Linked DNA regions of Struthio camelus. The protein of the gene in region 3 purifies or fractionates together with the protein of the main gene of each other region. This does not show direct contact. Links are inferred from orthologs where the notes say so. Each region holds a gene or a part of one and is shown on either strand. Other genes may lie near its edges. The genes, in order: CAPZA2, CAPZA1, CNOT1 and TOB1.

Evidence for each region.
Region 1: the proteins of CNOT1 (region 3) and CAPZA2 purify together in Homo sapiens (affinity purification with mass spectrometry; 3 studies listed by BioGRID and IntAct, counting the BioPlex papers as one, with this or other methods). This does not show direct contact. The link is inferred for Struthio camelus from reciprocal best matches to the Homo sapiens genes CNOT1 and CAPZA2.
Region 2: the proteins of CNOT1 (region 3) and CAPZA1 purify together in Homo sapiens (affinity purification with mass spectrometry; 3 studies listed by BioGRID and IntAct, with this or other methods). This does not show direct contact. The link is inferred for Struthio camelus from reciprocal best matches to the Homo sapiens genes CNOT1 and CAPZA1.
Region 4: the proteins of CNOT1 (region 3) and TOB1 purify together in Homo sapiens (co-immunoprecipitation; 3 studies listed by BioGRID and IntAct, counting the BioPlex papers as one, with this or other methods). This does not show direct contact. The link is inferred for Struthio camelus from reciprocal best matches to the Homo sapiens genes CNOT1 and TOB1.

What each region holds. Positions count from the first base shown.
Region 1 is NC_090942.1:29,001,449-29,009,345, forward strand, and holds the start of CAPZA2 (F-actin-capping protein subunit alpha-2), read right to left. Parts: upstream 3,020-7,897; 5' UTR 2,930-3,019; coding exon 2,891-2,929; intron 1-2,890. UniProt on the Homo sapiens protein: F-actin-capping proteins bind in a Ca(2+)-independent manner to the fast growing ends of actin filaments (barbed end) thereby blocking the exchange of subunits at these ends.
Region 2 is NC_090965.1:9,481,227-9,488,665, reverse strand, and holds the start of CAPZA1 (F-actin-capping protein subunit alpha-1), read right to left. Parts: upstream 3,021-7,439; 5' UTR 2,952-3,020; coding exon 2,913-2,951; intron 1-2,912. Other genes in the region: ST7L (suppressor of tumorigenicity 7 protein-like), read left to right, coding at 5,622-5,628, 6,245-6,299, 6,976-7,091. UniProt on the Homo sapiens protein: F-actin-capping proteins bind in a Ca(2+)-independent manner to the fast growing ends of actin filaments (barbed end) thereby blocking the exchange of subunits at these ends.
Region 3 is NC_090951.1:23,133,799-23,140,639, reverse strand, and holds the start of CNOT1 (CCR4-NOT transcription complex subunit 1), read right to left. Parts: upstream 3,005-6,841; 5' UTR 2,869-3,004; intron 1-2,868.
Region 4 is NC_090960.1:7,337,985-7,345,147, forward strand, and holds the start of TOB1 (protein Tob1), read left to right. Parts: upstream 1-4,155; 5' UTR 4,156-4,178; intron 4,179-4,442; exon of another isoform or gene 4,443-4,734; intron 4,735-7,163. UniProt on the Homo sapiens protein: Anti-proliferative protein; the function is mediated by association with deadenylase subunits of the CCR4-NOT complex. Mediates CPEB3-accelerated mRNA deadenylation by binding to CPEB3 and recruiting CNOT7 which leads to target mRNA deadenylation and decay.

The DNA.
Region 1 (7,897 bases), on a different chromosome or scaffold from region 3:
AAGTCACACTCAATATTAGTCTGTTTCACACCAGGGGGAGACAAGTGTAGAGAGGAGCAGTGTGATTTGTTCCTGTTGAAAAATAAACATTTGTCTACCTCTACTCCTAAATTTGCATTATAGTCCCAACTGGATAGGTGAGAAGAGTGTGCTTTTCAAAAGCTATTCAGTAGAATTTTTTAGCTCCATAATAGTGAATGACTGAACATGTACGGAGCTAGACAAGTTTTAATTTCAAAAACATTTGTTGCATCATTCATAACAGATTTCAATTAAGACATGAGCAATTAGGCACACTGAGGAAATTTGGTTCAACATCTCCAAGACATGCCGTAAGAATATGTATTTCTAAATTTCTTTCCTTATGTAGTGCTTGTTTAGTAGCCTAATAGAGGGTAAATCTGTCCACTTAAGATTATGGTGACTTTCAGGAGAAATAAACAAACAAACAACTTTACTGTAAACTGACTGTCTTTATTTAAACCACTTATAGTGCACATTCATCTAGATTTCAGTTTAATACCATCAGAAAAGGATTAAACGTTTAAGCAGTATAGCCTTGTACTGTAAAAAAGCACAGAACTTCAATATACCAGTGCTTTCAAATAGATTAATAAAAGGCTATCCAAAATAAGTTTAGTGGCAAAGCGTAAACATAAATAAGGCCATAAACAAGTCCGCAACACTTTGAGGACTCTAGTCTTTCTGAACACCGGGTGGGAGCTGCAGTACACTGTGAACACTTGTTTTAGAATGGATAAATACATTAAACCTGACACACCTTCTAAAATGTTCAGATTAACTGAAGCTACTGCAAGCACCTCTTCCATGGAAACGGAAAATCCTTAGGTATCACAAGTTCTGCATGGACATTTTCCTGCTTTTGCAAGAGTTTGCAGCACTGCCCATCTTTGTTTTATTAGCCAATTAAATAGATTGCCAGGCTTGGAAAATTCCAATGGTGTAGGACAATCAATTTTATATGTGACTGAAGTGGACAAAGGAATTAATAGCATCATTACTGAAAAAAGGGAAAGAAAAAGAAAAAAAGGCCGTAAAGCTGGCATTTAGCAGGATCGGGGTGGGGGAGAAAGGGGCTATTTTTTTTGGCCGGGGTTGCTAAAACTTCAAAGAGGTAGGAGAGCACTGCACCTCTGCTTTCTTCTAAGATGAGACAGTGAAAAACATTAAGCTAAGACTGGACCAAGGGGTAAGAAAGATCACACTTATAGAGCACATGGGAGACAAAAGATTTCCTTCACTGATCTCAGAGCACTCGACAAGGTGGCCAGTTTAAGTTTACAGTGGAAAAGTGCAGACTCCATTCGCTTATGCTGAGGCAGAAAGAGACTCTAGAAGGCTTGCACTCGGTTTGGGAGAAAAGGGAACCTGCAATTAATGGACAGAAGAAAGTCCTGTATTTAACTATAACAGTCACAGAAGCATGGGTAGTGCTTCTCAGTTTATACAGAGGCAAAATAGAACTGTCACTGTATCTTACAGTACCACAAATAACTTTGACTAAAAGTTTTTTCAAGTACACTCCCTATCCACAACACAATGGATTAGAGTTATTTTGTAGAAGTTCCTACAGGACAAAATAATGGACTGCCACATATATTTCTTGGTTACATTCCTACTCGTACCAACACAGAGATGGTATTCGAATATGAATTAGGTAGAGCAGGACACAGTTTTAAAGCCTCATGTTGGGCTAGCGAGATCCTGAAGCTATGTGTCTCTTAGCACATCGGTGCATCTCTTGTTCTGAAACTTGGCAATGTTAACCTCAAACACGCAGAAAGCCTGCCTTGTTGTCACCACCAATTAGACATTTCAAACATCCTTCTTCTAACTTCAGAGAAGTGTAAAGCATTGTTTCGTTGATGTCTCCCACGTTTAAATCATCTCAACAGCTTCTACAGCCATATAAACCTATGTTTTTAATCAGAAATAAATGACACCATGCATTACATAAAGATATGGGCAGTGCACCATCATGTACACAAACTACCACACCCTAGCTCTGAAGCAGGCAACTGCCATGACCCTGGATCCAACAGAAGATAAGGAGCACTGATAATCGGGGTATTACAAGACACCCCACTCTTTGAGAGATTTTCAGGAAAATCCGTCTTAAACTTGACGACGTTTCCAAGAGCCATAAGCAGAGACTGCACGCAGCTCGTTAACACAAACCGCCTGCTCCCTGACCTCAGACTTCCCCAACTGCTGTCCCTTAAGAGGAAGTACAGGGCTGCCCACCCCCAGCGCCGACCTCCTCCCCCAGATCTCCCGTATCCCAGCTCCTCCCGGAGACCGCGGGAGGTGAGCGAGGGGACGACGACACCGCGGGCCTGCGCTGGAGCTAGGGCCGGGGCACAGCCCCCCTCGGCGGGGAGCAGCGCTGGCGCTCCGGAGCGGCCAGCTGGCACCGGGAAGGGGCCGCAGAAACGGGAAGTGGAGATGGGGGAAGGGGAGGGGAGGGGAGAGCAGAGCAGAGGACGGTCCCTGCGTGGCTTTCCCCCCCCTCTCTCTGCGGTGCCCGCTCGGCCCCCTGCCCGGCGGCCGCTCCCCGCCCTGCCCTGCCCTGCCGGCCGCCGCCGGACACCGGATCCCGCCCCCCGCCGGGCCCGGCTCCTGCCCGCCGGGCTCGCACCGTACAAGGAGCGGCGGGGGATGCCCGGCGCGGCCCTGCCCCCGCCGACCCTCCTCCCGCCCCCCTGACTGACAGGCCCCGGCGCAGGGAGAAGCTAAAAATACGAAACGCCGCGGCTGCTGGCGACCCCAAACGGCGAGGGCCGAGCTCGCCTCGCGGCTCGAGGAGCGAGGAGGCAAAAGGGGCGCGCCGGCTCGGCTGCGGCGCAGCGGCCCGCCCGCTCGCCCCTACCTTCTCCTCATCGGACAGCTGCTCCTCCAGGTCCGCCATCTTCCCGTCTGGCTCCGAACAGCGCCGCTCCGGCCGCCGCCCCCGTCCCCGTCTCCTCCCTCCCAGGCAGGAAGGGCGGGGCCCCGCGCCCCCTCCCCCCCACCGCGGCCCGCTGGGGAGGCGCCGTGACTGCGCATGCGCCTGGCCCGGGCCCGGGGCCGAGCCCGGGGCCGGGGGGCGGGGGTCCCGCTGCGGGGCGGCCGGAGGAGGGGAGGGGGCGGCCGGGCCGGGCCGGGCCGGGCCTCACGCTGTTAGCGTTGGCCTGGGCCGCCGCCGTGGGGCGGGAGGGGCCGCGGGGGGGCCCGGCGCTGAGGGAGGCGGAGGGCAGCGCCGTGGCGGTGCGGCTGCGGTCGGCGCTGGCCGCCGGGACAGAGGAGGCCCGCAGCCCTCGCCGCCATCGCCGTCCCCATCCCCGCCCCCCGCGGCCGGGGGCGCTCGGGCGGGCCGGAGTTGTGGGTCCAGCCTGGGCTGTGACTTGGCCTGTTTCAAATGGTGGTGGGCGCTGGGTGGGCCGGCCGCGGGGGCGAGGGCTGCCCCGGGGCGCTGCGCCCCGCTGAGCGTCCCCCGAGTGAGGGACGAGCAGCGCGCCGGCCCGCGCCGCGCCTGCTTTTCCTGGGTGCTAAAGTGAGTCACTTGAATGAGTCCACTGGAAGTCTGTGTGGGTGGAAAGAACTACAGATTGCCAGATTTCTGACATCCGCTCAGCAGCATGCCTAATGCGGGTTAGCGTCTCCTATGGCTAGGAGGGGGCGGGGCTGGGAATTTGCATGGAGGCAAGTTTCAAACAACAGAATGTTTGCTGGAATTTCATGAAGTTTGCTGGAAGAAACTTCAGAAAGTTCCGTTCGGTGCCAACAGCAAAGACCGAGAAAGTCGACCTTGTAAAGTGGTTGGTACTCTTGGATTGGATGAATAAAATGAGTGTAGTTAACCAGAAGAAACAACATTAGATAGGCTGGAAATTTCTTACCACCAAAATAAGAAACCTTTAGATAGGCTGGAAATTTCTTACCACCAAAATAAGAAACCTGAAGAATATCTTCTGGCTGCGTGGAACTGCAGGTGCCCAGAGGGATATTTGAAGATGATGGCTTTTAAGAACTGACTGAAAGAAGAGGTAATAAAACAAACTTTAGAGAAAAGCAGTAATAGAAGAAAGAGAACATTTGTGTAGCTAGCAGTGGGGATTTTGGACGAGTGAAATTCAATAACCTGTGCCAACAGTGTGACCAGTAGCAGGTGCCCAGGGAATGGTGAAAAAACAAGGCAAATACATACTGATACTTCTTGGGAATGTTTCCTCAGCTGCCAGTATTGTGGCTAGGAAGACAGTCCTCCTCGGTGACTCCCTCCTAACAAGGGTTGTCAAACTATTCTTCAAGGGTCTGATAGACAGCAGGAAATTTTGTTTTCTTACAGGAGCAAACATAAGGTCAGACTGGTAAAACAGGTAAGCAGGAGAAGCTGTTTTAATAATGATCCATTCTGGCAACAGTGCGATAGCAATAGACTCCACTGTACAGAAGCTGAACAATTTTAGAGGCCTAAAAAAGAAACCGAAGGAGGAGAACAGTCAGATGACCTGTTCAAGAACTCCTTCCTCTTCCTTGATCAGAAGTAGAAAGTACGTGGGAAGTATTTAACTTAGCCAAGTAGGACGTTTGGGTTTTATGGAACAGTAGAATAAACTGAATAGAACTGGGTGGCTATAGTCTTCATCTTACTAGTATGAGTAGCAATTTCCTGGATGATAAACTAGCAAGGGCAGCTGAGAGAATAAAATGAAAAGGGGAGACTAATGCCAGAGATATCCTTACACCACATGCTAATATATGACAACTCCAAAGCATTACGAAATGAGCCCAGTTATTTGTAAAGGATACATCCTGCAGTTTACTGTGCATTAATGCTAGGAACCTAAAATGCACAAGACAATTTGGAGCTTGAGAAAGATGATACGATTAGTATAACAACATTATTTGGTCAGGTCTTGTGCCTGGGCTATTGAAATCAATAGTTCAGACCTTGGTCCTAAGGACAGAAAGAGTAAAAGGACTAGTGTATTATACTGGAGAGGCCTGTAGTGGTCAGAGACATTTCAGAAGAATAGGTTCTTAATTATTTGTAGATTGAAGTTCTAGTTCATTCAGTGAAAGATAGTCTGCTGTGGACCACCCAATCTTGCTAGAGAGTGAGGTGAACTTCTTAAATATCTGCTCCTAATATGTAAGGAACTTTGTTACTGTTACTTCAGACTGAAGGAAATATGGTGGAAGGATTGTATGTCCAGTAATAACTCTTTGCTAATCTTTATAAAATATTAGTTTCTTAATGTCAAGCATGGTGTACTTCAAGGTGAACAAAGAAGAGCTGATCATTGACTTGAAAATTCAGAGATGCCAAGGTACATGTGAGTAGAGCATGATTAATGGTGTGAATGTAGCCAACTTCTAGCCGACAGATCTTGTTATGCTATAAAGTACATCCACAAGATGTGTTTTTTTTGCATGAGTATCCATACACAATAGTTGATGTAGTCACATGCAATATAGCAAAATATTCCCCAAATTTGTATAATCTTTCAAGGCTGTCACTCTAGGTGCCTTAAAATGTTCGTTGCATGCAAGTGAAAGAAAGTGATATTGGACAAGAAGTCATTGCAGTCAAAGGGGTATGTGGAAATTATGATGACACCATAAATCAATATATAAACAAAAGATATAAAAGTAAAAACCAATGAATGTACAAATTAGACAATGTGGCTTATTCAGGAAAGTTGAAAAGATATATAAAATATCTGTAGTTACTGAGGATAAAGACAACGGACATGTTAGGAACAAAATAATGGGCAAGCAAACCTTATATTTGATAAGGCCATTGCTAGATGCAAAATGATGAAGACTAGTGCAGAAAAGGCATGGTCTATGGGTATTTGGTTTTGGAACATCTCATATAATGTTTCTTAGACTCAGTGATAAAAGTTAGTGGTCTGTAGCAGGAGGAAGCGATGAGCAACATCTGTTGAACAGTTTCAAGCAGGAATTGATAACTTCCACCCGAGAGTCTTAGAGTAAATAGCTGAAGAGCTCTGTGAAATGCTCATGTTATTTTTTAACAAACTTAGGGATTTCCCAGTTACTAGGATATACCATGGAAACTGCTATATTTAAAATGTAAAAAGAGGTTCATTCAATAAGGTAGATCTTGTCATACAAACATGAGTAGTTTTCCGTTAAGATGACATATCTGGCTATTCGATGTACAATGTTTGCACAGAGTCTTTTCTTGAAATTTGCTGCAATCGCTTTGATGATGTGAATGACTTAGAGAAGAATTGTGCAGTCACGACAGATATTAAAGGGAATCTTCAATGTGGCACTCTGGCAGGTGCTTTAATGTGACCTTAGGACTTAATGGGAAAGCAGTAATTCAGCAGGATTAAGTAGGGCTCTCGCTTTGTGACTCAGTGTTGTTGTGAAGGGCTGGTGTGCCTTTTCAGAAAGAATGTGGAAATCTTGGAGAGTGTTTAAAGGAAGACCAAAAATGATCCTGAGGATATACAACAAATTTCAGGATGTGAGGCTTAAGGAGGTCCAATTAAGGAGATTATTGAAGAAAAGACTAAGAGGTGACTTAGGAAATGATTTATTTTCAGTGACTGCAGGATGAAGCATTGATACTCAAGTTAGCTTAGAATATATCTGCATCTTATATGAAGTCATACCTCTTTACTGAATTCTGAATACCTCAATTCTGAATTGATCTACTGGCTGAAAGTTAGCCATGCTCATCTTTTTGCTATAAAGTTCACCCACATCAGCTATGTTTTTCACATGCTAGTGTCTATACACAATAATGAAAAGTTCATGTGCACTGCAGTCACATAAAGTATAGCAAAATATCGTCAGTATTGTTAACTAGCTAGCTCATGTCTTAATAGATGTCTAGTCACACTACGTGAAACGCACTGTGGGCTGCCAAACCTATCTGATGAGCAGTGTGTGGTTAACTGACAGAAAGAGAGAAAACAAATTGATTTTAAAAAGACTTCTTTTTGAGTTCTAATTAATCTAAGCAAACATGATAGATCTACCAGTCTTGTACCTTGATATTTTGCACTACTATTTCTTCCATTTCTATGTATGACTTTGTAGGTCCAGAACCCTGGCCCTTGATTACAATGGGAGGAAGAGCACAGCAAGCCTTCCTGTGAGGCCTCCCTGCAGAGCCGTGAAAATGGTTTGGGAGAAATGCGGTTTCTGTGCTAAAGTGATCCTGATGACTGGCAAGTGGTCAGTTTGGCAGAGGGGGTTAGGAGAGCATACTTCTCCTGTCCTTTTGCACTGACCCCAACAGTTAAGATAAACAATGCAGAAAAATGAAATTACATTTTCGTTCTTCTCATTCAAGACAAGTGATCAACATCTGATCCCTGCTGCGTCTGTTCAGAGCACAAATTGATGAAGTCAAGTGTCTTCAGTGTTCACTTGTTTAATCTGGAGGATGTACTAAGTTTTGTTTCCTAGGACAAAGGTGGAATCAAGGCAAGCTCTGAGCCTCTCAGAGAGTGCTCCAGGCAGTGATTTGGGAGTATCCAGAATGAATTGGAAGGCTGTGTCTGTCCCTGCTCCTTACTGTGGGAAGTGTCTCCCTAGATCCTGGCACCTTGTGGTGTAAATCCTCAGATCCCTGCAGGTTGGGGGGATGCATTCTGGATTTGCTGAGATTCCCAAATATGTCTCAGATACTTGGGCCCTGGGGATTGCCTGCCAGTTTGGATCTGTTATTTTGGGGAAATAAAATATCTGATGTTTGCAAACTTGCAGTTTAGTAGCTTTACAGTGAAAGCAAATGGGTTTATTCTAAAAAAGCAAAATGTTAAATCCTTACAATAGTATTAGAAATAAAACTGTAACAGGAAGAAAACTATAATAAACTGCAGCTTTAGAAAACCTGAGACTGAGCTAC
Region 2 (7,439 bases), on a different chromosome or scaffold from region 3:
AACTTAACGATCTCTATTTATGCATCAATGTTGTGGCTGCAGAATAGTTCTGTATATGGAATCCTTGTAAAGGAGACTACCCTTTTAATACATGGAGGACTTTTAGGTCAAAAGCTTGACTGTTTTTTAAGAGGGTGTTTCAATGTGCCTCAAACCTTGCAGGGGAGACTTCTACAGTCTTGCAGAAATGTTTCCATTGTGGGAAGATGAGTGAAATTAAATCAATACAGTAAGGGCTCCATATTTCAAACAAACATCACAAACAGCCATGAACAAAGTAAACACTGCAACTGGAAGTTGGTTACTTCTATAAAGTATTACTCACTAGACATGCCTTTCCTCTGGAGCAACAAAATATAAAGCATTTCAGTCAACCTACTGAAATCAAGAGTGGAGTGTGGGAAACAGGCTGTATGGAGTAAAATGATTGATGTCAAGCATTTGAATTGTTGTTGCGTGTCACGTTCAGAGCTGATTTGTCTCAAAATGGTGTCAGCACGCTGGCAGGATGTTCACTTGCAGAAGCATGAAAAGACTTTCTGCAAGCTGACCTATTTCCTGGCTCATCATTACCATTTTGGGTAGTGCTGCAGTACGCTAACAGAAACTAACTTCCTTTCCATAAAATGGGGAAAGTAACAGGGAGGCTACTCAATCATCGGTTCAAGCCAACAAAACAGCAGCAGAAGCAACTTATATAGGCAATAAGGTACGTTCTGGTAGGCCCTGAACTAGCGTGGATCCTGAGCTTACCTAACGTGCCTACAGAGAGTAAAGAACTGAGGCTCATGGAAGGGAAGAGCAACAATTCATTTTGTTTTTGATTGCTGGTTTCTCTGCTTTTTCTTAAAGCACTGGCAAATTCAAGACTTAAAGGAAATGTAAAACAGTTGTAGACTTGTCCGAATGACTGTCAAATGCATGCTAGAAAAATCTTGGCTGCAAGTCTTTTTTCATAAACCTGCCTGAAGAGTATCCCTTTCTATCTGTTCTGAGCATGGAACTACTTTAAATTCACACTACGTTGCCTGAGCGCGGACACAAAGTAGAACACAAGCTCCAATTTCAAGCAAAATCCCATCTGCTCTGCCAAATAAAGTCCTTGGTTACATACAGTTCTGTCTTTCTGAAGGACAGGTGTTCCCATAAGTACTTTCAAAGAATTGTAGATTCCAAGTGAATGCAGCAGTAGGAGGGGAAAGAAAGACCTAGTGACCCCAGGTTCTTGCAGCAGAGACTTATTCTCAGCCTAAATTAACTAGGCTAAGAGTATAGTTTAGATATAGCCTACAAACAGGGACTCCAGTTCTTCTAGCTCTGTTAATAACTTGCTAGATTACCAAAGGCAACTTACTTCACCTCTCTCTCATTCTCAAAAGCTGTACCAGCATAACTCCCAGCATGATAAAGCTTTACCTTTGTTCTAATTTTCACATCAAATGTAACGATGACCTCAATGTCAGAAGCTAGAATGAAATTCAGCCAAATGCTGTATAAAATGTATATTTTATCTGTTGTCCTTGAATAATTTTCAGTTATGTGCTAATTCCTTTGGACTTTATGTTCTGCAGTACTCATTTCAAACAATGCTCATGTGATCTTAACTAACATTTTGAGTCTAACTACAGCTTTTAAACTTCTTGGATTGTATCACAAGAACATGCTAAGCTAAGTCATCAGTTACTTGGTTAACACAGGCTAAGCTATAAATATTGATGTAAAAATTGGCTTATGCAGCATAGTGTCTATAATAAATGTTATTCCCTGCCTCCTGTGAACATTTGGTCCTTCCAATGAAAAGCAAGGCGGATGAGCTGCTTTCTACAGTAGTTTGGCTAAAGTGGTCTCTTATTTTGCAATGAAACACACCAGGAACACTTGCCTGGCCAGCTGAAGATGAATAACTAGTAGCTTAAGGACAGCAGAAAATTCTCAGAACAAATATGGTTCCTGTATCCTATTAGTTTTGTTTTACGGTAACTGGGTACATAACCAGAGCACAAACCTAGTTCCATACTTACAGGAATATTAGCGGGGGAATTGCACCCTGAGGCCCTATCTGGTTCCTTCAGGAGGAACGTCACTACAATGAAGCTGAAAATGGCAGTTTGAGAGGCAAATGGAAGTAGACTCCAGGCTTGCATGATCCTGGAAGACCTATGAGCCTTGATAAGCCACTTCAGCACATTTAAAAAACCAAAAAGCTATATATATTTTTGTGATTTAAAGAAGAATAACTCCAGAATTTTTTGTTAACTATCACTTGTATGCATCTCATGTCTACGGACTTGCAGAAAAAGCTATCCCCTCATTTGTTATGTAAGCCCTAGTGCTGTCTGTAAGATGGGGACTTTTCCCTATTCCTGTGCAGGAGGAATAATCTGTTTATTTCTCCAGCTTCTAAAAGTGAAAGTTTCTTTATTTGTTCCTGCTTAGGCCCCACCATCCAATAAAATTTTTATGATCTGCAGCAAAGATAACAGTAGCACGTGGGGTAAGCAGAAAACGTGAAGACACGTTTTGAAGGTCCTCGCGATTTGGAGCCGAAGAGGCTCCCCAAAGCGCCTGTAAGGGGCTGCTAACGTCGTTGGTCTAGCAGACGCGACGGCAGCTGCGGGGGGGGGGGGGGAGATAACGTGTTTGCGCCCCCCCTAACCGCGGAGGGACGCCTGAGCTAGGGCTAAGCCGTGAGGCGTCGCGTTGAAAAACGAGCCCTTCGCCCCTGCTTGGGCCGCCCGGCGGCGCTCCCGGGCCTAGCGAGGGGCCGGGCCGGGCCCGCCGCGGCGCAGCGCCCGCGCTCGGAGGGGCCGCCGCCGCCCCGGTCCGGCCCGGCGCAGCCCTGCCGGCGGGGAGGCGGGGGCACCGCCGGGGGGGCTGCCGGGGCGGGGGGGCGGCGGCGGCCCCGTCCCTACCTTCTCCTCGTCCGACACCCGCTCCTCGAAGTCGGCCATTTTGGCAGCTCTGGGCCCGGCCCGCGCGCAGCATGCCGGGAGCGCCGGGCAGCAGCGGCGGCGGCGCCGGGGCTGGGCCGGAAGCGCCGCCCGCGCCATGTTGGCTGTGGGCGGGCGCCGCCATCTTACCGGCGGGCAGGCTGGCCGGGGCCGGAGCGGGCAGCGCGGGAGTTGGCCGCCCGCCCGCCCGCGGCCGGGGGGTGCAGGAGCTGGGGCCGAGGCGCAGCCCCGCGACCGGGGTTCCCCGCGCCGGCAGCCGCGCGGCAGAGGGAGAGGGAGGCCGCGCCCAGCCGCGGCCCGCCCCGCCCCGTCGTGCGGTCCGCCCCTATCCCGTCGTGCCCCGGCGGCGCGGCAGCCATGGCGGACGGCGGCGGGCCCGGGCGGGCGGCGGCGGCGGCGGGCCCGGGCGGCGGCGGCGGCGCGGCGCTGGGGCGCTGGGAGCAGCTGCGGCGGCGGGCGGCGGCGGCGGCGCCCTGGGCCCGCGGGCTGCTGGCGGCAGCCGCCGGCCTCGGCTTCTTCTACGCGGTGCTGCGGGTGCCGCTGCGGCTCCGCGACGGCCTGGCGGGCGGTGAGGCGCGGCGGGGCCCGTCCCCGCCCAGGCCGCCTGCGCGGGGGCTGGGTTTGGGGGGGGGAGGCGATATTTCCAGCCCAGCGATATCACTAACTTGAGTTTGAGCGCGGCCGCTGGGCTCCGCGGCTGGCGGTGCCCTGCCCTGCCCGGGTCTCGGCCCTCCTCCTGCCTCGGCCCCGCTCGCAGCGCAGGCTGACAGCTGGAAAAGCTTTCCTGTAGTTCTAGTTGGAAATCACGGTCGGAGCGGTAATGGAAAACTGCATTTTCCTGTAAATGCCAGGAGAGCGAATCCGTGTAAAACGTAGAAGACAGAATACGTTAATACGATGTACTCTCCGATAGTATAATATATATTAATTTTAGTTCACTTTTTGTTGTCTTTTGCGTCTTTGTTTTAGTGTTGCACAAGAATATGCCTTTTAAAAAAAGTAAACTCCCTCAGCGTCCTTGTTAACACGGAGTAGAGGCTTGCATCAAAGCAATACTTTTCAGTTTTAGATTAAAATGAAATAATACATTAAAATGGCTTCTTATTACTCACCAGCCATGCAGATAGTCCAAGTCATAGCTTTCTTTATCCAAGAATTTACAAAGAGGTTTTGAGTTGCATGTATAGCCTAACTAATGTTACAGACAATTTTGACAAGAGAGTGACAGATGAAAAGGATTCACTAACAAAATAACCATTATCTATGAAGATACTAAGGCTATGTCACAATACTATGTTTGCGTAGTATTTTATACAGTATTGTTTGTTTAAAAACAATTTATTTGTATTTTTTGGTTCTGCTTATAAACTTTTTAGTTTTGTTTCTCTTGACAGTGACTGTGTTCTTAAGCACTTTGACACCAAAATTCTACTTTGCGCTTACTGTGACTTCATCTTTTATTTCTGGACTGATATTTGTAAGTAGTCCACTCTTGGCCCCCCCCCCCCCTTTTTTTTTTTTTTTGTTTAACAGCTTTTGAACTTGTTAAGGTGAAATGCAATAAACTTCCTTTTTTTTTTTGAACAGGCTCTAGAGGGTGCCTTTGTACTACAAAGGAACTTACTGTTTAGTATCTCTTCTGGTGTATTATAAGCGCTCTCTTACTATGAAGCCTAAGTAATCTGTATCTGTTTTAGGAATTCAGGCTTGTTTGAAGTGTGTACGTATGTGTGTACATATATACAAGCATGCACACACACACATGTATATGGGAATTATGCTAAATACGTTTCCTAAAAGAAAAAGAGTGATTTTTGGTTAGCAACTATTTGTAGTAATGTTTCTTACCAAGGAGTGCCATTTGTTTGAACATGACTCTTTTCTGCATGCTAGTGGAAGTACTCCGATAAGTTTGTCCAGGGCTGACAATGTAATATAGTGCTTGAGGACTGTATTATACGTGTGCAGATATTTTTAATAGCATAAAAAAGAAAGACAGTAATGCTTTTGATCCAAAATTTCTAGTAAGTGAACGAGATTACTGTTACTTAAGACTTCCCCCTTTGAACTTTGACTGGCAGAACATCTCAGTTCAACCATCCATTTTGTGCCTTATTTTTAGATTCATTTTATTAAATGAAAAAGCTACGCCCACTGTGTGATTCTTGCCTCTGTCTCTAGTTTCCCTGTACTGCACACTTTGGTCTTAAAAGATCCAGACACCTTCTGAAAGGGTTTAGAATTTAGCTTAATGACTTGGGGAGGGAGGAACATATGTTTGAAAATTTTACTGTGTTTTTTTTCAGTCTCTTTCATGTTATGTGGGAGATCTTGCATGACAAGACAGGCATGAAACAGTTAATTGGTGTTAATTTGTACGTAGATAAGTTCTATCTGTAGTCATTTTCAAGAGTCTGTCCTTGCTGTTGAGTTTACTCTTCATCTCTTATGTTTATATTGGAAGGGTGTTGCCTAAGAAAATTTCTGGTGCTTTTTTTACTCTTATGACAGGTGTTTGAGTGGTGGCATTTCCGAAAATACGGCACATCTTTCATTGAGCAGGTATCTGTGAGTCATTTGAGGCCCCTCATTGGTGGAGTAGAAAGCAGCCCTCCAGCACCAGTAGTGTTCTCAGCTAACAGTGGAGAGCATGAGACAAACAGGCAGAATATGCCAGGTGATTGTTAGTGTCCCTACAATTTTCCTGGAGCTTCAAGAAGGCCTTGTTCAAGTGAATTTACTTTTCTTTTGAGTGGTTTTGATTCTGCATTAGTGCTTATAGTAACTGGAGAAAGGCTTACGCTTTACCAATGTATTTTATCAATAACGGTAAAAGAAATTAAATGATACGTAATATATTACATAGTATCTTTGATTTAAAACATTCGTTATTAAAAGCATCATTTTGAAAATGTATTACACGTTTAGCTAAAACTGTTTCAGTAAGGTTAGATTTTTTGCTATTCTAAATACGTACAAGGTAAACAATGCATGATTGTGAATGGCAGAGTTTAATTTTTCCACCATGTGCTTTTGTATGATGGAAATTCTGGGGGGGGAGGGAGGGGGAAACCCGTGGGACAGCAGAAGCTCTAGGACGCAGAAAAAGATCGTGTGTGTGTGTGTATATATATATGTTTATAAAAATCATAATTGAGATGAGGCTATAAATCTCAAATTAAAACCAGTTGTTGCTGAAGTAAAACTATGTAGTTGCTATATTTTAAAGTCAAGGTAGTATTTCTTGTGCTCTTAATTCCAAAAGTACTTTTTTTTTTTTTAATCATTTTCAGAGTGCAAAGTGTGGCGAAATCCTCTCAATCTTTTCAGAGGGGCAGAATATAGCAGGTATTAATAATCTTATTTTTCATTGCATGGTTTTGAAATTAATCTGGAATGTATTTATGACATGTTCCCAGAGCTTGCAGTAGTACTACTGGGAGACAGTTAAGACCTACAAGATTATAGGGTTGAAGTTTGGATTGATGCCAATCCTGTGTTTAAAAAGCACCTACCCAGACTTTGGCAGTTTCAGTGTTAAGAATGCAAACGTCACTGTAAACATCACCGGCTTTTCAGAGTAAAGTAGGAGAAGATTATAATTGGATTTATTTCGTTCTTTTTTTCAGAAAACTCTGGGAAAATCATGGTCTCACAGCTGTTGAGTTATTTTATTCTGCATTTGAGACCATGATTCTAAATCTGAAATATCCCTTTTTAAACTAATTTAGCTGTGCTGTAAATCTCTGTGCTATTTCATAGGAAAAGGTGCTTCTTAGGTAGCCAGTCCCAAGTCTCTTAGAACTTCAGGATCAAAAAGACTTTTTTTTTCCTCTGCAGGAAGCCTTCTGGCAACCTGTACAGATTATGGAGCAGTAGTACTTGAAAACTTCTGGTTAGTAGCCCACTCTTTTATTAATAACGTTTCTGCACTAGCTTCAGTCAAGCGCATCAGGTATTATCCTTTGGCATCAGCATTACTGTTTACTAGCAGTACATTTTACTGAAATTTCTCTTGTTAAAGATACATGTGGGTGACTGGGAAGGAGCCTCTTACATATTATGACATGAATTTGTCAGCTCAAGATCATCAAAACTTTTTCACATGTGATACGGATGCCCTTCGGCCTTCAGATACAGGTACCAGTGATGTATGTATGAGAGAGATATATATATATCTATATGGAATGTGTAACGTGGATATTTTTAATATATTCAATATAGCACAAGCTATTGTGTGAACTGCCTTGTGAAACAATAGCCTTTCTCTACTACTTAGGTGGTTTAATAGATGTGTTGAGTGAATAGGTCTTTTTTTCTTTTTATATTGTGCTCTCTCTGTTGGCTTTAAGGGTGGTCGTGCATCAGGATCCTGAAATATTTTAAGATCTCACACTTATTAAATAATTAACAATATGATGCTGAAAACCTGAATTATTCTTCACAACCAGTGCAGAGGTCTGATTTAAACAGACTGTTGATGAACAG
Region 3 (6,841 bases):
GAACAAATCTGAAGTCCTCTATACATATTCAGAAACAGCCTTACAAAGAAAATCATTTTAAAAACTTCTTTAAGTTAGCCTTTGGTTTGTTAATATTTTGCAAAGCTAAATAACTTACTCCCATTGGGTTTCAAGAGCTGTACAGATTTAAGGCCATGTGTATTCCATGCAGAGGGTAAAACAGCTCAAGTGACTGAAAGAGCATCAGGCTCACTGGTAAAGTTATAAGTTCCTGTCAAAAAACATCTTCTAAAATATACTATGAGCAACACCACTAACCTGCTCTTCAGAATAAGTCTCTTACTCATTTCTGCAAAATCCATGCACAAATAGAAAATATGAAAGAACTGCACGCTTCAAGAGACCCATGTTAGAAATACTCCTAAAGGGAGGAGGGGGAAGGTTTCAAACCACATTACAGTTAAGTTAGATTACAGGCAGTCATTATGAAAACTACGCAAAGGAAAACCTTACAGCATTGGTCACATTAATAGTACAGTAAGCTACAGCTGAATTCCACTTGTTCAAATTTAGGTATTTACACATAGAGGAACCACCTGAATATTCTGTTTACTGTGTAACTACACACAGCTCCAATCAACTGGAAGTCACTGATGCTGATTAAACATGGTAACTAATTTGGAGATAACAGCTGAACTAAGCACACATGCTTATGCTCCTGAGTTAAGGCCAGTTAAGTTTCAGGTGCAGAACCTACCTCAAACACATCAGGCATACATCATGACATGGCAACTTTACACATCTCAACAAGGTATTTTCACATCTCAACAAGGACATTTTACACTAAAAAAAAAAAAAAAATCCAAGAAACTTTCACATCCTCCTTTCCCTTCAGTTAGGCACTGCAGCATAAAGTTTCCATTTTAGATAAATTAAGGACCCATTCTCAAAGGCAGTAGACTGCTTTTTCCATCCAAAAAATGTTTTAGAACAGTTAAGTGTTATAACAAAGAAGTAAATGAGAACTGCACTATTTGTAAGAGTAGCCAGGGTTATGAAACAAAACAGAGATCTGACTTCAACGATGATTCTCAGTGGTACAATTCTCCCACTATTTATTGATGACCAATCACAGGGTCACAAAGCTTCACTATCCACTTTTGCTCATTAATAGCTGCACAGTCTCTGTTCCACCTTATTCAGTATTGCCTTGAATACCAAAAGTAACCATTTCAGCATCAATTAAAAAAAAAAAAGTATTATGTATCTCGGAACACTATGCCAGAAGAATAGAAAGGATTAGGTCCTTCTCCAAAGAGGGGAGATAGGCAGACACCAAGTTTACTAAGAGTTTGGTTTAGGGATATCAGGACAATGGGATCAGTAGTTAAAAGCCTACTTATAAGCATAAGGACAAAAGAACCAAGGAAATAACTATTCTAGAAGGGACAAGCACATCTATGTATTACCTGCTAACTTTGTTTCCTGCTTACAACACAGTTACCTCATCTGGACTAGCTCTACCTGTAGTTTTAGTCAATGACAACGCAGTTACCTTAGAAATAGGAAGCATTTAAGTTACATGCCTCAAGAATGACTTGTCAAATGTCATACCTGTTTTGTTACCTGCTTAAAAAAAAAAAAAAAAAAAAAAAGGAAGCCAAGATGCACAGGGAGTATATGTTGTACTTCCTTCTAAAAAGTCAGACTCAGAAACAGACACTGTCTAAACTTGTGACACAGTGAGAGGCTAAGAGTCCCTATTCATTATATTTACACACAAAAACTTTCCATATTATCTCATTTCTGTTTGAAGTACAACCTAAGAAAATATTTGTGGTCTGCTGAAATTAAATCGTGACTGACCACTAACCTTAATCCATACAGAGGATGTAACACTAACTCAGAGTAAGACAACTACTGCAAAGGACCTATTTCTAAAAAAATAGTATCTGTCAAAACAGCCAACTGTTGATAATCCTAGTTTTCAAATAAGCAAGTCTATGCTACTATGCAGGGTGCCCTTAACGAGATGACAGTGCTGAGATGCATCTCTTCCGTGTAGTCTGCAGCAAGGATATACTACCAGATTGTACTACTATATTCCACTGTTTACGCATTACTTTTTTTTCACTGGGCAAGTCACAACAACACAGATCTTCTAAGGAGGTCACCAAATCTAACTCATGGGTAGGCCCAGCGCCTGCTCCTTTTCAAATTTCTCACAGCTTCGCCTTTCACGATCAACTCTACAGAAGTAGAAAGTAGACAGAAACAAAGACAAAATAAATGGCTGAAGACTTCGCTGTCATCTCGAAGCGATCAAAACGCAGTCTGTTCGTGGAGCTTTTCTTCCTGCGCCGAGAACCGCAAGCAGCATCCCGCGGACCTGAAAACACTCGCGGCTCCCATCAGTTATCACCACCATGCACGGCCCAAGCCGACAGTGAGGCGAAACCCTTGGAAGTGAGACCCTTGAAAGTTTGTTCGCCTTTTGCTTCCTTCAGCGGGACGCCGGCTCGAGAAATGGCAAGGGCAGCAACGGGGACGCGAGGACCGGGACAGTGGCGGGCAGGGAGCGGGGCAGGCCAGGCCTCGGGCGCCCCAGCGGCAGCACCACGCGCACCCCGGAAACGACGGGCCCCGCGGGCTCCCCCTGCCGGCCCCGCCGCCTCCTACCCTGCTCCCACCGCCGCCGGGGCCTGGCCTCGCCGCGGCCCACACCACGGCCCACCAGTCCCCCTTGGGGGGGGGGGGGGAAGAGGCGGGGGGGGGTCACCGCCGACACCGCCCCCCTTCGCGCCGGAGGCTCCGGTGCTCCGACCACCACCCCACCCCCACCCGCCGCCTACTGGGACTGCCGGGGCGCGGGCCGAAGCGAGGCCAGCCGCAGCGGGCACCTCTCACCTCAAGCGGTGGGTCAGGGCCGGAGCAAGGCGGGGGGCTGGGGCAGCTCGCGCTTTTATCCTCTCGCCTCCGCTGGTTTCGCTACAAAATGGCGGACGGGGTCGCGCGCTCACGTCGCGGCCTTTCCCCTCCCCCGTCCCCTCGCGGCACGGCAGCGGGGGGGGGGAGGGAAGGCGTGGAGGGAGAGGAGCAGCCACTTAGCCTCCCGCCCCCTCGCCAGGGGCTCACCCAATCAGAGCGCGTCGCCGCGCTCGGTCTACCCAATCAGCACGGCGCGACCTCTTGGGGACGTTCACCCATCTTCCCCCCTCCCCGGCCTTCCGCGCGGAGTAAGCGCCAAGCGCCGATTGGCCGAAAGGAGGAGGCGTCCTTCCTACAGCTTTGGCCAATCAGAGCCGGAAGGCATCCTGACCGAAGCATGCGCAATAAGCTGCCAATCAGCGCTCGCAAGGGGAGGAGAAGGCTCGAAAGGCCGTCCAATGAGCGCAGGGCGCTCCGCTGGGGGCGGGGCAGGAAGGGGAAGTGGAAGGGGAGCGCCAAAGGGCGCGCGGAGTCATGGGGGGGAGCACCGCCTCCGCCCGCCCGCCCCCCGCACTAGTGTCGGCCACCCCGGAAGGGCCCACCCGCCTGCGTGGGGGGCGCCTGGGGACCCACGCAGCCCGCCTCGCCGGGGCCGGCCGCCGGGACGGCTTCCCTCCCCGCGAGCACACGCAGTGGTACGGCCCACCCGCTGCCCGCTGTGGTCCAGACCCTCCATGCAGAGCACTGCAGCACCCCCCTCAAGACTGTGGTACAGCCCCAAGCATTGGACTGCCCCCCCCCACAGTGTAGTGGTACGGCCGCGCATGCTGCATTCCCCCTCAGCAACATGCACTGCAGCTCCCCCTTGCATTGTGCTGATAGGGCCCCACACACTGCCTTCCCCCACACCCACACAGTCCAGTGCTGCAGCCCCACACACTGCACCCCCCCCCTCGCAATCCACTGGTATGGGGCCTAAACGCTGCATCCCCCTTGCAATTGGGTGGCATGACCCTGCACACTGCAGCACTCCCCCTTGGCTGGCAGTGCAACAGCCCCACACACTGCAGCATGTCCCCCACAGTGCAGTGGTATGGCCCCCTGCACTCCCCCCACCACATGCACTGCATTCCCCCACTGCACTCCCCGCAGTGCAGCAACTCAGCTCCATGCACTTGCACCCCCCACCCCCGCACAGTGCAGTGGCCCAGGCTCCCTCCCAGGGGTGCGCACGGAGGCCATTTTGTGCCAACCTGCCCCAGAGACCTCAGCTGTGCTGGGCCCTGCCCTGTCCTGCATGGGAAAGGGAGGTGGGCTGCCCTGCCTTTCCCCCATGGCATCCCTGCCAAAACCACTGCTCCATTTGCCCACTCAACACATTTATTCCTATGTACATATACACAGACAGGTGAGCTGAACCCCTGCCCCGCAGCGTGCGGTGGCGGGGTGCCCAAAGCAGCTGGCCTGACCCCACAGCAGGCAGTGCAGGGCACTCACACGTGCGAGGTCTTGGACAGGAGACTCTTGCACATCTTCAGCAGCCGGCCAGGCCAGACATGTTGCACCGTGTGCCCCAAACCCCGCACAGGTGGGAAACGACAGGTGCCATCAGGGCGCAGGGCGGTGCCAGGCCAGCACCCCTCCCGGCCCTGGGGCAGCCCTGCGCGCAGGGACAGCACCTACCTTCACGTTGCTCTCTTCTACTCTTGGGAGAAGCCAGCAACCCAGTCGCTGCAGTACCAGGGCTGGCAGAGCCAGAGAGTGGCCTTCGAATGCAGCTGTGGTGGGAGTCTGCGGCGGCCGCCTCACCCGCACAGCTCCCAGGTGGGCAGGTGGCGGGTGACGTGCAGAGCTGCCTGGACATCGACACAGTTCAGCTCAACGTGTATGGCCGCAGCGTCGAGGCAGGCCGGCACGCCAGGGACGGAGCTGGCTTTCTGGCGACGAGCACACGGAGCAGACCGCACGAAGAGGCACCTGCTGCAGCAATGACCTCAGGGCTGCTTTTCACCTCTGGACCTTCCTGCTCCCAGAGCCCCCCCCCCCCCTCTCTCTCTCTCTCTCTAATCCCCTGAATTTCTGCTTTCAGGGCTTGCACTATGCTTGCTCCCTTCTTGCCTCCTCTCCATGCCTCAGCCCCTGTGGCACCTGTTTTGCGTCCCCGGAGGAGGACCTTGGGCTCCGGACCCTGAGATCCAGACTGCCAGCCTGTCCCCAGGCATCCCCAGGACCTGGTGGTGGGCGTTCTCCAGGGCACAAGGGTGTGAGGAAGAGGATGAGGCAGAAGGACCAGAGGGGCGATCCCGCTCTCCTCTGCAAAGCGCTTTGCTCCAACAGATTCTTCCTTCCTCCTCTTTTTATCTTTTTGCACCCCAAACTGTTCCTACCAGGAAGAGGCAGCTGGCCCCCCCTCCCAATGCCCCGGCTTTGCAGAGCACCCCTGCCTGCCTGCAAGTGTCACAAGGGCGTCGGGGCTCAGACAGGCTGTGCTGCTCCCTGCCCAGCACCGCCAAGCCTGGCAAGGGCCTCCGCAGAGGCAGGAGGGGCAATCCCGCGCCCCGCCTGCTAACGGCAGGCCCAGCAGAGCTGCAGTGGTGCCTGTTCACAGCTGGCATAAATCTGAGTGCAAGGCTGGCAGTGACATGTTCCCAGCCTGGGATTACTCAGCAGCCCCTCGACATTAAAACGGTCCCGGTGCAAAACGCTGGAGAAGTTGGCCGTGGAGCGTTGCTGGTAGCGGCCCCCCCCCCCCCCCATAGCAGGGGGCGTAGAGATCGTAAATGTTGAGGTCAATGCCACAGATGATCCCGTACACCTCCTTTATCTGGGAGAGCGTGAGGGAAGGGCCGGGCTTAGCCCATGGCAGGGAGAAGCCCCCTGTCAGGGCTCTGCATGCATCAGAGCCACTAGGGACTCTGCACAAGGTGGGTGTCAGGGGACGTGCCGTACACTGAGCCGCCCCATCCCCTCCTGTGCCCCGAGCACCCCCGAGCAGAGCCCGCCGCTCACCGTGGCCATGCAGGCACTCTTCTAATTGCTGTTGAAGAAGTTGCAGACACCACTGGCACGGCAGTGTTGGCTGAGCGAAGCTCACACCTGCGGGCAGAGGCGGGAGAGGTGATACCCCCAGATGGGACATGGTGGAGGAGGAACACGCCACACCACCGCTACCGGAGATGAGCATTTCCATCATAAGGGCCCCAGCGAGGCACATACATGCCTCCTCCCATGCCCTGTGTCCCCCACGCACCCGGAGACAGCTGGATTCTTTGCTCTCCCTTTCCCCCCAGCTCTCCCCCATTTGCAGCACCTGCTGTTTGCCTCTTCCTTGCACAGGTCCCAGGCAGCTAAGCCGTGGCCCATGGATGAGATAGGTCCTGCTCTCCCCCACTCACTCATCCCCCATGATCCTGAGGTAGCAGGAGAACTCCATCAGCATCAGGTCGTTGAGACTGTAGCTGCTCATGCCATTGCTGATGCCGAAGCCCTGCAGGAGGAAGAGGAGGAGAGTCGTTCCCATGGAGGGAGAGCCCCGCATGCTCCCCTCTTCATGATGGGCCGTGCAGGCAGCATGAGCTACGTCCAGGCCACAGCAGGTATGTCCATCCCAGTGCTCAGAGAACTGATAATATCCTGGGTGGGTTCCCTATTGCCTTGAGAAGGATCCAACCCCCCGGTATGAGTAGCTCCCTGAGGGTCTGCATGGACGCAAGGTCTAATCCCATGTGGTGGGGACATAAAACATAAGGGACAACATGTGCCACCTCCTACCAGCAGAGCCCTGCTCTACCAAGCATGTGTAATCCAAGAGGGACCACAAAACGTCCTTCCCCTCTGTGGCCCCAAATCCCACCCCATTTCTGTGCTATCCTAGCACCACATTCAGCCCTGTGGGAGCACCAGGCATGTGGGGAGCTGCCCACCCCTGCCTCAGCCCCCGGGACACCTTCCT
Region 4 (7,163 bases), on a different chromosome or scaffold from region 3:
GTTTGCACACACACACACACACCTCCTGCTCTGTGCACTCCTGCCTTGGCATAAAAACTCGCACCGAGCCAGTGAGCTGCTCCTCATCGGTGGTAACCGTTTGCCCGTTTGCCCCTTCACATAGTTACAGAGGAGCTTGGGGCTTCCCTAGCAGATGACCTGGCTTGCTACTGCAGGGGCAATGCCCCACCAACGTCTCTGTTTGGGCTGAATGCCTCTGCTCTTGGTCATTCTTGATTCCATTAAAACAATGTTACATTCAGGCTCCTACCATGGTTCCCACCTGAACAGTCCTTGTAGCCACAGAGCTCCTGAAGCTGGGCAACATCTGATATGTATTTACATATTCCATAACGTATATTAATAGGAAAAATACTGCTTAAGCTGGTAAATGAAATGTAAGAGAATCTATGCTACATTTCAAAATTATTGTTAAGGGCAGATATGTGTGGGAGAGCAGCCAGGATTGGTTGTTCACACTGGTAGATAATAGGGAAAAGGAACGAGTGGTAAAATCTGCAAATGGATAAAATCGGGATAGAGAGGGAAGAATACAGGGGAAAAAATTTCCACTTCTTCAAAATCAAAGCCAAGGCTCCCACGCGCATTGTGCTCCTAAATAGGAAAATGTTAAAAAAGAGACTGTACCATATTCAGAAATGTACCTTGCAAAGCTTTAGGTCCATGGTCAGGATAAATGTTATATATTCTGTAAAGGGTAACATTCATATACTAGAGAAGATGAAAAGGACAGAGATGGGTGATGAAAATTCTGCATCTTACTTGCTACTTCTCTTAAATTCTTGTCCAGGTTGACTCTGATGATTAAACATTTTCCTGGATATTTTTAATCCCCTTAAAAAACTTTCGAGATTAATAAACTCTATTTTGGTATTAGGTAATATATTGGTCATCATCTAATACCGATTTAGATTTTTAAAAGAAGCAAGTTTACATTGCTTAAGTGAAGAAAAGGAGGTCCTTTTGTAGAGTCATTACACATCCATTACTAGGAAGCCAAACAGCACTGGGGTAGTTCACGTGAACCAGGACCGGAACATGACGAGAAGTGGGCGAAGGCCAAATGTGTGTGTTGATGGAGCCCTGTGTCCTTACAGAGACCTGGAGTCCTTTTAATTTCCTCGACTGCTATTTTCTGCCTGTAACGAGGTCTGAACCATTTGTGAAATGCAGTTTGGGTTAGGCCTTTTGAGACACCCCTGCTTTCTCTCCAAGCAGTTCCTAAGCATCTGGGCATTGCACGGTTCATGGTCCCCTCTGGTCCAGAGGACGTAGGTCTCTGACAACCCGGAGATCTTGGCTCTACAATTTCAGACTGCAGAGACCTAGACTGTTGAAACTATTTCAGTTTCTGGTGCTTGGAAATATGACGGCCACCACAGACTAGGCTATGAACAGAGGGTGAGCTCACAGCCCTTCTAGTTTAATACAGATTAAGGAAGGCCCCTTCCTTCTAATCTCGCTGTTGCCTCCCTGCAGTGGTCTGAAATACTTCTGTTGATTTGCTCTGCTAGAGAGACAGACTGTCAAGGTTTGTCAGGAAAGATGAGAATATATAGGTATTTTCTTTTAAGATTAATCTTTCAGTTGAAGAGAGTTGGCAAGAGGAGTAACATTTTGCTGCTGGAGTTGTTATTTTGTATTGATTGCATTTTTAAAGATTTTGCTACCAGGGAGAGGTAGACATTTTGTTATTGCTGTGTATTAATCAAAAGGACTGAAAAATATTGCAGGCCCTATTTTGACTTCTTTTCCTGCTTTGACTTCTTAGAAGTCAGTTGAGGTTTTAAGGACAGGAGCGATACTGGATTAGACGCTGTGTTTTTAAGTGCTAGAAACTTAACATTAATAAAGTTTGACCAACTACTTTTGATGTGTTATACATGGGAGACACATCTCTGCAGTTTAAAAGTCAGAATTTTCTTTTTGAACAAATGAGGACAGACTAAAACTTTCATTGGACCTTTAGAAGTGAGCTTCCTTCTTGCTGACCTGAAGAGATTGTTCTTAAGGCAATCACCTGTCTTAACACAGTATGTCAGATTTTTTTTCAGTTCTATGCAATTTTAGCATTACTGCATTGGAAGTTTCCTTTACACAAGCCATAAAAAGGTACACCACCGTTTTTACAGCTTTGAAGGCTCCCACAGCAGCCTTAATTAAAAATATATTTGCTTTGTATATTCAGTTCAGCCCCTAATGCTTTTCACGTAGTGTTGAAGTCATTTAAAAGAAAGTCTCTGCTTTTATAACCTTTCATCTTTTCTTTTTACCAACTCAGCTGCACAGTCATTTCGTTTTTAAAGCTACTTAGTAAATCTCACCTGAAAAAATTGATCCACGGAGCTGTGCAGTTTCTGCCCTTCAAAGGGAAATCTGCTACCGCCAGCCCCACTCACTGCAGAACCCCGAGCAAAGTAACACGTTGAACTCTCTGAAAGAGCTGATGTTATCTGCCAATTTGTTCAATGTTTGTTGTACCAAGTAGACTTCTAATTTTAAAAACCCGTGTTTGTCTCTTCACCTTATCTGTTATTAATAGTTATTTCACGTTGTCTCTTAACTTTGGTGGTAGAAGTAACGACAACCTTTTCAAAACAAAGAATCCAAGATTTCCATATGGCTCCTTGGCTGTGCAGCAACAATTCTCAGGAGTAGTCTCCAGGTTGCCAATGTTTATAGTTTTGTAATCCTCATCATACTTTAGTTTCTTAAACTTTCAACTTTGGGGGCATGGTGATGACAGGACTCAATTCCCATTGAAAAGATGCACGTTAAGGTTAAAAAAGAATGGAAAATAACGGGGAAAAAGGCTATTTTGAGTCTGAACTATTAAGTTGTCTGCGTTCGCAGTATCGCAGTCCTAAAAACACTGATCTTAACACTTCTGAATAAAACTACATGTTTTATGATGAGTAAGGCCTTCTAGTAGAAATTTTTTCAGTTGTAGAAAATCCCAAGCATTACCCTTTGTATCTTGCTTCCTTAACATTTCATTTTTCAAGTGCCTGCCTCGTGCACGGTGCCACATATAGTCTAAACTCCCAAGGGTTAAAGTCCTGGCATTTCTTCTGACTGGTATTTCCAAATCTCTCCCGGGGCCCATGCTGCTTTTATGCCAAAAAACACTTTATTATTATACAAACACAGCAGAGGAGGAGGAGGAGGAGGAAAAAAGCCTTTGCCTGTGTTTTGTCCTCTACGACCGGGCCCTGCTCGCTGGTTTGAAGCTAACCACCCCAACTCAAAACCCAGTAACACCCACGAGCCGTATGTAAAGGGCAAAAACCAGCGACGGTGTTAAGCAGCCGCAGGCCGAGGGCCTGGGCGCCGCCGCCGCCGGGCCGGGTCTCCCGCGGGGCCGCAGCGCCGGGCCGGTGGCGCCGCCGGTTATTCCTGAGGGAAGCGAGGCCCGCGCGAGGCCCGGTCCCCCCGCCGCGGCCGGCGCTGCCCGGGGCTCGGTCGGGCTGAGCCCGGCGGAGGCCCCGTGCCGGCGGCTGCCGCCTCGCCTCGCCTCGCCGCGGACCCGCCGCCGGGGTTTTTCCACGGCGCTGAGGCGACGGCTGCGCCATGTTCCCCCTCCTTCGCCGCCCCCTTTTCCCCCCCCCGGGTAACTTTTGTTTTCCCCCAAAACTGGGGTTTGACGTATTCCTCCTCGATACCGAGTGACCAATCAGGCGGTTACTAAGGCGGGAAGCCAGCCAATCGGTCAGCGTTGCTACCTGTGGGTAGTATTTTTAGCCGCAGCGGGCGGGCGGGGGGAGGGGGAGGGTGACAGCGGCGGAGGCTCCGCGCCCCCCCCCCCCCCATCGTGAGGGCGGCAGCGCCCGGTACCGGCGGCCGCCGCCGCAGCGGGGCTCGTCGTCCCCTGGTCCGCGGGCCGCCTGACCCCGCCAGCCGCTGCCGCTGGCTCGGCGACGGAGCGAGCGGCCGCCGGGCTGCTGGCCGCGAGGGGCTGTGAGGCGCCCTCGCCCCCCGGCGGGCGGGCGGCCGGCGGTCCCCGAGGGCCGGCCCCGCCCGGGTCCCCGCCGGCGCCGCAGCGGCGGTCATGGGAGATGTAGTTCAGCGCGGCCCCCCCTCTGCCCCCCCCTTCCCTGCAGAGACGAGGGGCGCGAGGGCAGGGTTTGACGTAGGCAGTGACGCAACCGTGTTGTGAGGTGAGGAGCGAGTTGACGTAGAGAGCGGCCCCTCCACGCCGCGGTGGGGGGGAGGGGAGGCAGGCGAGAGCCGGCGCGCGGGGGGGCGCTGAGGGAGCCTTCTCCGCGCTGGGGGCGGGGCCAGGCAGGTGGTGGGCGTGGCGTGGCGGGACGCTGCTGGGAGGGCGTTGGCTGGTGGGCGGGGCTGGGCGGGGCGTGTGGGCGGGGCTCTGCGGTGGGCGGGGGAAGGGAGGCCATATATAGGGGCGCGTCGGGCGGCGGGGCAGTAGCAGAAGGAGCCGAGCTGCGGCGGCCGAGTGCGCCCGTTGTGGGGGTGTGAGCAGCGCAGCCCTCCCCCCCTTTTCCCTCCCCCCCCTTTTTTTTTTCCAACCCTCCCCCTCCCTCTTCTTTTTTTTTTTTTTTGATCTTCTTTCCTTTCCCCTCCCATCCTCGCTGAGGGAGCCGGCTCTCGGAGATGGGGGTCGGGTGCTGAGCCGCCCCCCTCCCCCCTCGCCAGCACTCACACCCCCGCCGGGATTGTTTGCACTAACCCCCCCCACACACACACCCACCCCGGGTGAGTACCGCTCGCTGAGGGCGGGGGGGGGGGGGCGGCCCGGGCCGGAGCGGGGAGCCTTGGCGGGGAGCCCTGGGCTGAAGGCAGCCGGGGGCTGAGGCGGCCCTGCCGTGAGGCGAGGGGCTGAGGCGAGCACGGCCGCTGAGGCGAAGGGGCTGAGGCGGCCCCGCCGTGAGGCGAAGGGGCTGAGGCGAGGACGGCCGCTGAGGCGAGGGGCTGAGGCGGCCCCGCCGTGAGGCGAAGGGTGGGGGAGGGGCAGCGGTGCCGTGAGGGGCGCAGCGCTGTGGGGCGCCGGCCGACGCGGGAAGGAGGGCGCGGGGGCAGCCGGCAGCCCCTCGCAGAAGGGGCCGAGGGAAGGACGCGGCACCGGGCGCCGGGCTCCCGAAGGGTCCCTCCCTAGGCGGTCCCTGGACGCGCTCGCGGCTGGGAGGAGTGAGCGTTGCCGGCTGACTAATAGCCGCTGCTCGCGCTGGGCCTTCTCGGGCAGCGCTGGCAGCCGTCCTCCGGGAGCCTGCCTCGGCAGGGCGAGGCGGAGGGGTGTCGCTGAGCCCAGGCCGGTGCGGTGCGGAGGGGGGCCTCGCTAACCCCCACCCCTTCGTCCAGTCGTCTCCCTTCCCCTTCTTCGTTTTCTTTCTTACGGGCTCAGAAAACGCTCTTCCTCCTCCTGCTGTTGCTGGAGCTCCCAGGGCTGTGAGCAGAAATCTAATGAGACCCAACTGCCTGGTTATGTAACTCCCCACACGCTGCTTGCGGCTCCTGCTTTTAGCCCCCGCTGCCGTTGCTTTGCTGTTGGAGTCATTAATGTGCTTGGGTCCCTTAAAAATATTGTCCTCATCAATTAAAAAAAAAAAAGTTTGAAATGATCAAGCTGGTTTGTTTAATCAGCTGCTTTTCCGTGAATCAGTCTGGGGACTTAGAAGAATTTATTGTGTCTACCCAGTGCCTTGAAAGGATCATTTCTTTACTAAAGGACATGGAGGAGGGGAAACAAAACAGATGAATTAATAAATCATTTTTAAATATCCCTTTTAACCACCCAGTCAGCTTTTCTGTACTGAATGTGTCCCTTTTGTAAATATCTTCTGTTTGCCCTTGATCTTTTCCTTATCCCCACCCAGTGCTGATCCAGCAAACGTTTAAAGGTCGCCTTATCATACAAGCTTTCGAACTATTCCCATACCGTGTTGAGGGGAACACAAGTGGTTTGGAAATAGAGTTTCAGACTTTAAAAGGAGATTATGTGGAGCAAGAAAAAACAGCAACATTGTATTCACATTTTTATGGGATTTTGATATTGACTTTGACTTCTCTAATCTTTAGTCACACATATACTAAATTTTGTACTTAGTGATGCAGTGCAGAAAAGCACACCGCTAACCGAAATTCATGCCGAGTGTTTAACTTGAGCCAAAAAATACCCTTTTTTTTTTTTTAATGGAACTTCTTGTACAATGCTGTCTTCTTTGGACAAGTACCTTATGCTAAAGATTTTCATTAGCAGTGCATGTTCCAATATTTGATTCTAGTCCTTTCTTTAACTTTAGGTAGGTGATTTCTCTTTTGTCCTTTGTGAAGGAGTGACAACCATATTTTATATTTAAATATAAAATGGAGTCACGGAGAGGAAGAAAAGCAATTGTTTTGAGTGAGGCTATCAAAAGCCCTGCTGGCTCTAGTAACTTTCAGAAATCCTGACTGTAGACAATGTAAAATATGTAGTTGTATGCGTATATATTAAATATACATCTATCAAATGTAATATATGTATATAAAAGAACTACAGAAAGGGGAAAATTGTGAATTAATTTCTTGTAATGATTTAACAGTTATTGCCACCCCATCACAGAAAATGCATCCATATTTTGCATGCACTGATTGTATTATCATTTTATTAATTCTGAGGAAAGGAAAAATTCTTGTATATGTTCAGCAGACATTTTCTCTTCAGTTTGTGTAATTTCACCAGTGCACAGTTGATGTGGATGCTTGACTTGAACTTAAAATAAGTGCAGCACAATTTGAATTATTTGTGTGAAATCCTCTGAGGAAACTAATATGTTTGTAATTCTGTAACTTTAAAGGCAGCCAATGTGTTTGCAAACTTTAAAATGATAAATGACCCTTAGACTAAGACCTTTCATGCTAAACTAATAGCCTGGTGCTAAATTTTGCAGCTGAGTACTATAAATCATCCGAAATAGGGGTTGGTAATTGAACCCTTGACAGGCCTGGCAGTTCTGTGATGTCTTAGAAATTATACTTGCTGCTTTGTGAATAGCTAAACTGGAAGCTCATATGATTTTGAAATACCCTGTGCTGTATATATAAACACATGCCTAGTGCACCTTCTGCAGTATTGTTTCTAAGTCATATTGAATGTAGTTGACACCCTCACCTTTCACAGGCGTGAACAAAAGCAGTTTGATGCA